2 separate regions of the Mus musculus genome follow, and region 1 is reported to be linked to region 2. Evidence: microRNA targets listed by miRTarBase, many of them from high-throughput screens and not tested one by one. Region 2 holds a microRNA gene; the other region holds the end of a gene's coding sequence.

What was found. The annotated mature microRNA mmu-miR-185-5p reads UGGAGAGAAAGGCAGUUCCUGA and lies in region 2 at 2,262-2,283, shown strand. An mRNA with a match to its seed (bases 2 to 7 or 8) in the 3' UTR can be bound and repressed. Matches are read on the target gene's strand: a 7mer-m8 pairs with bases 2 to 8, a 7mer-A1 pairs with bases 2 to 7 and ends in A, and an 8mer does both.
Region 1: miRTarBase lists Rorb as a target of mmu-miR-185-5p. The part of its 3' UTR that is shown has no 7-base or 8-base seed match.

What each region holds. Positions count from the first base shown.
Region 1 is chr19:18,935,402-18,938,401 of GRCm38, forward strand. It overlaps Rorb (RAR-related orphan receptor beta), which reads right to left. Exons shown (of 10, transcript NM_001043354.2): 10 at 1-2,634. The coding sequence ends at 2,479. Among named protein-coding and RNA genes, the nearest start is that of Rorb, 170 kb to the right of the region's middle.
Region 2 is chr16:18,326,569-18,329,720 of GRCm38, reverse strand. Mir185 (microRNA 185) reads left to right here and starts at 2,256; the gene lies at 2,256-2,320. The region is part of intron 1 of Tango2 (transport and golgi organization 2); the gene reads left to right.

The sequences.
Region 1 (3,000 bases), not on the chromosome of region 2:
GTATCTCCTGAGGCAAATGTGGGGAACAATCTCTTTCCTACACCACCCATGGGGCAAGGGAGGAAAAAAATTCTTAGCTACTTCATCAATTGAGCTGATGTAAATCCTCCAAGGTAAACTGAAGACAACAAATGATTCCCCTTTGCAGCCCAGTGGGATCTTCAGGCTGACAATGGGAAACACTGGGCCAACAGAACAATGAAAACAAAGTTTGACATGAGTTCAAAGCTCAAAGGGGAACATCAAGTAGACACAGTAAGCATTTCCTATCACAAGCCAATCATAAAACATATATCGCATTTGGAAACGGCTTGGTTTAATTGAGTGCCTTCCATTACCCTGTTTTCCTAGCAATCAGTAAAGTAATCTTTCCATTAGAAGGAAATATGACTCTTGGAATTAATTCTTTATACAAAGAGCTAGCAGGAGTGACATTTACACCAAAAAGAACTGAGTCCCTGTAGCAGCATAATAAGCAGTCTACAGCTGTCTTCTCAGAACCAAAGGTAATTTGGTTCAATGTAGTTAAATTAATTGAATATAACAGTGGTTGAAAAAGAGATTCATTATTTTAAAGTCTTTTTGTTTTCCCCCAATGGCTTGGAATTCATCAATCATGAGGTGAGAAAGGCCCCTGTTTTCTGAAAGGCAAGACTAACACTACTGTGCTCTGATCATCCACTGGAGTTCTGAGGCATCCTGAAGATGACTCTCAATCCAGAACTTTGAGAGAGCATAAGGGACTAAAAATGACTCAAAAAAAAAAAAAAAAAAAAAAAAAAAAAAAAAAAAAAAAAAAAAAAGAAAAGAAAAGAAAAGAAAAGAAAAGAAAAGAAAAGAAAAAACAAACAAACAAACCCAGAAACCCAAACCAAAAGACCCAAGTTTCTACAAAGCGGTGTGTGTGTGTGTGTGTGTGTGTGTGTGTGTGTGTATGTGTGTGTGTCTGTGGGTGGCTGTGTCATCTGTGTGCATGTTCGTGCGTGTGTGTGGCTTAGACTAGTTCATACTAAAGACCTAGGCCTTCCAGGAACAGAGAGAACAAATAGCTTCTAACTCATGCCTTTCTGGTGCTTAATTTTGTAGGAAAGTAGGTGAAGAACCTGTATAGGTTGCCGTTCCATTCTATACATTTTAGTGGCTAAAAAATAACCAGTTTGAATAGAGGATGTCATTTATAACTGTGTAGGATAGAATTTTGGCATTGGGATATATTAGTCCCATAGACAAAAGATTTACTGTTTTCTAATCTGAATTTTTTCTATATTTTATAATATAGCATTTTGAAGTTGAAAAAACAGGCTCCCGCCTATTTTCTCATTTCTAACAAATTACCATGAGTATAATTTAGTGAATTTACTTCTTAACTTTGTATGCTCTATTTCTCTTTTTTTGTTGGGAAAATGGTTAGAAAATATCTACACAAAATGGGTACAAGGAACTTGTTTTATACTTCTAGTCAAATATTTCTAAAAACGTTGATGGTGGTGATAATCTATAGACTGAATTTTTTGTTGTCTTGAAGAAATTATAACCACCAAAGTGAAGTTTCATTCAGAATTGGATTCCAAATCCAATGTGGAGGAACCTCAATATTTTGTAATATGGTAATAAATAGACAATATCATTATCTGGTCTATAAAACAGGAAAGTGGCTTCAAATCCTTTTGGCTTCCCCTCTTCCCGGTATGTGCCATCTTGATGGGGCTTTGAAGTAATTGATAGAAATGGAGCTTTTAAAAGAACAATTATGTGTTACCCCGATTCTTTTGTAGATTTCCTTTTGCATGGGTCCTATCATGTTGTTATGGATGGATAAAAACTCTGGCTGGAAATGAAAACCCTGATTGTCTAACATAAAAGTAACATATAACAACAGCAAATCACATGAAAGCCTGACTGAACCTCCATTGCTAGTGGGCATGGTATTTTAAGCCACAGTGCATGAATACGTAATAGTCATATATAATACTCTTACATATTATATACTCATTACATACATGCACAGTACTTTCCAAGACAGTTAGTTACGAATTTGCACATGCATCAACTACCTAAAAACATAGAAATAGGTAAAGCCTAGTAAGTGGAATCGTCTTAAATTAGAGTCGAACAATCAATCAACGGGAAGAGTAATCATGGAAAGTACGGCTCTGTTTGTGTATATATCTACAATAAAATTCTATAAACAGTTGTCTCCAAAACATACCCGAATAAAATTAAAAAAGATAACACCCAGTGTCCTATATTTGTATATTTATGATCATTTCAAAAACAAACAAACAACAAACGAACAAACAAAAGAGCCCCACTCAGGTGCATATTTACATTCTTCAAACTGTAGCGGTGAAAAATATTTCTATTAAGTGCAGGACATTCCTAATGTTGCAGTAGTGACATTTTCCTTAAGTCCCCATGAACACATTGCTTTTGTCTTAACGGCGATGCATTCCATGACTCTGAGAGTTCTCGTCCCCTTCATTTGCAGACCGCAGCACAGTCAGGATTAAAGAGCTCCTTGTACAATGGAGGAAACAGTGTATTCACTATGTCTGGATGAGACTGCTTAAATACCTGCAGCTTCTCCCCATGCAAGTTGCAGACTGCCGTGATAGTTGGTATCTTGGCTATTAACTGCAGAACACAGAGACAGAGGGAGACAAAGAGGGAAGCTCGTTAGTGGACTGTCTTGTGAATTAGTGTCTTTTTGGGGACCCAGATAAAGGTAAATGGCTTTGGAAAAAGATGTTCAGAGAGAATGAAGGCTCACTTTCAGCTTCCCTTGAAAAGAAAACAAAAACATATTTCTCAGCCCATGGTAAGAAAAAAAAAAAAAAACAGAGAAGAGAAAGCAAGCAAGCCAGGAGGTCTAAGACTCCTGGTTCATTATTCTGAAATAAAATATGCAAAGGAGGCATTCTTGTTTCATGCTGGTGAGTGGGTGCTAAGCAGGCAAGTACTATGAACAGAATCCTGCTTCCTAAGAGTCAAAGACAGTGT
Region 2 (3,152 bases):
AGCAGAGTTTTCTGGGCCTGTGGGATGTCCTCGTAGAGCAAAGGGGTCGGTGGTCTCTTTGGACCACCTGGGTTCAGTGGCCTGGGCTGTGGAAGTAGCCGAAGTGGCCGGTTGATGGGCCCTAGGGCCCCCGCTGCTCTGAGGAATGTGGTGAATATAGCAGCTCACAGATATGGAAGGGAGTGAAAGGGCTAGGGTGTCATCAGGAAGCAGGGGCCACTGCATGGCCTTACACCAGGGTGCTCCCCTCTCTGAGTCACTGTGTGGTGACTTCTTGTAGGGCCACAGTTTTGTTGAAGAAACCTCAAAACCATCTTCATTCAACTGATCCCTATCAGATCAGAGTTGTAGTCTTAGTACAGTTTATTACAAGGGATGGGTATCGATTAAAATCAACAGTAGAAAAAGGACAAAGCACAGAATCTAAGCAAGACTAGGCACAGGTTCCTATTTGCCATTTCTCAATGGAGCTGCGTGCCCCTGCTCAATTCTCAGCAGCGGTATGTGAACAACACAGATGGAATTTGCCAGCTGGAAAACTTGCTAAGCTGGGTATCCATGGTTTTATTTTACTAGAACTTGATTATATGGAATTGGCAGATTTCTGTACCATGTGGCTGACTTTTTGTAATATCCAGCTGATAACTACATGTCCCAAGGCCACCATCACAAGTCATAGTAACAGAGCCTATCTGGCATTGCCCAAGGCTTTGTGTTAGTGAGGACTCTTTCCACAAGCAGGACATTCCAAAGAGACTATTAGAGTATGTAGGCTGTAGGTAGCCCAGGTCTCCTGCACTGAGCCTGCACTGTACACACCTTGGCTGCCAGTGAGCCCACTGAGCAGAGAGGTGTACTTGTATTGGTGGAAATGGGGTGCTTGACTTTTTTTATAGAGGCCAAGGACATAGTGTGAGCCCTCTGTCCAGTGACAGGTGGGTGTGAGATGTGGGTGCTCTGGGCTCTTTCTGCACTTGTAACCTCAAGAACCTTTTGGCATGGGTCCCAGTCCCCAGGCTGGAATCTACTATCATGGTCTCAGCCTTTGCTCACTGCTTTCCGAGGAACCCCCAGGACTGAGGCCCTGTGCTTAGCAGGCTGTCACCCTCCTCCCTTTCTACAAATGCCCAGAGGGTTTTTGGTTTTGTTTTCCATTTTATTGTTATGTATATGGGTGTTTTTCCTGAGTGTATGTCCATGTACCACATGTGTGCAGTGGACCAGGGAGCCCGGAAAAGGCATTGGACTCCCTGAAATTGGAGATACAGATGGTTGTGAGCCACCTTGTGCATGCAGGGAAATGAACCCAGGCCCTCTGAAGAGCAGCCAGTGCCCTTTTTTTGTTATTGTTTGTTTTTTGTTTTGTTTTGTTTTGTTTTTTGAGACAGGGTTTCTCTGTGTGGGCCTGGCTGTCCTGGAACTCACTCTGTAGACCAGGCTGGCCTCAAACTCAGAAATCCGCCTGCCTCTGCCTCCCAAGTGCTACGATTAAAGGCGTGCGCCACGCCCGACTCAGCCAGTGCTCTTAATTGCTGACTTATTTCTCCAGCTCTTCCAGGGAGTTTTATTTTTTTAATCTCTCACCATTGTAACTGACTAATCTGACCTCAAGCAATTCTACAGTTTTTATGACCCTGGTCACTCGGGCTTTTTTTGGACTGCCAAGAACAGAAATTCTACTGAAAACCCACTAGCTAATAATAAGCCCAGGAATAGCGAGGTAGAATTATCATGAAGAAATCCAGGCACATCTCTCCCCAGGACATGGCCCTCGGACACAGCCTTATGGCCTTTAAGGACCCCCTGTGGTACGAGCGCTCTGTTGTGGTCCCATGGGCCCTGCTGGTCCAGAGAGCATGGGAAGTATCTAGTGAGTTCAGGGGTGTGAACCCTGTGAGGTAGTTTTGACTATCACGTACCTACTTTCTCTGCAGTGTGCGATCAGAAGGCTAGGGAATGGCTAGGGTTTGCTCTCAGCCCACAGGTGAACAGGAGCAAGAAAGGGGCTAAAGAAGTGGCATAGCAGAAGGGACCTCACCAAGTCCCGAAAAGAGCATCAGACCCTCGGGTGCCGGTTGGAGATGCCTGGCATTCACAGGGGCTTGCCAGCCGCTTCCTGGGAAAACATCTGGGCTTAGGTAAAGGCAGGATCTGTTACGGGAGAGGTATATCAGGAAAAAGGTATGAGGAGTAATTTGCTGGCCAGAGACGGCAGAGGGACTGTGGGGCAGCGGGCCTGGCTTGAGTGGGGGGTGAGGGATTGGAGAGAAAGGCAGTTCCTGATGGTCCCCTCCCAGGGGCTGGCTTTCCTCTGGTCCTTCTCTCCCAATGACTGCGTCTTCATCGATGCTGCAACCCTGAGCTCTGGCAGCACCTCCAACTCCAGGCTGCCTGGAGACACATCGATGGCCTTCCTGTGGACCTTGGAGCCCTCCTCACATCTCCAACCTAGAGGGCTGGTCTGCTAGGGCCAGCTAGGATGGCAGGTCCTGCAGCTGAACTAGAGAAACACCCTTGATCTGGCTATGTCTGCTGATAGCTGCCTCTGCCAGAGGTCCTACCCAGTACAGCCTAGGGAGGACCAAAGGAGTCTAAGAGCCAAAGCCTCTTCCTGACACCAGCAGCTGATAGGAGGGGCATGTAGGTCCAATACCTCCCATAAAGACAGTTCTTTGCACTGCCTGTCTCATTAGCTGTGTCCAGTCCGGTCTTGAATTTATCATTGTTCTGTCACACACACACACACACCCCATAATGCTGTTGGCCTTCGTGGGCCCTATGGCGGTCATTTTTTGTTGTTGTTTTTTTTCAAGACAGGGTTTCTCTGTGTAGCCCTGGCTGTCCTGGAACTCACTCTGTAAACCAGGCTGGCCTCGAACTCAGAAACTGCCTCTGCCTCCCAAGTGCTGGGATTAAAGGCGAGTGCCACCACATTTGAAAAATGACCGGCGGCTGTCATTTTTCAAAGAACTTTGTAAAGATTCCTTTTTGTGCTTTGACCCCTGGTTTTCTCTCTTGCTTTTTCTATCCCATAGCTGTTTTCCTGACTGCTTTTCTTTTTCTAGAATGGCTAGTCTGTGATATGCATGTCAATCTTAATTAATTGCCAAGGTCACTGAATTTTAGGGTTCTTCACCCCACAGTGTGGCTTT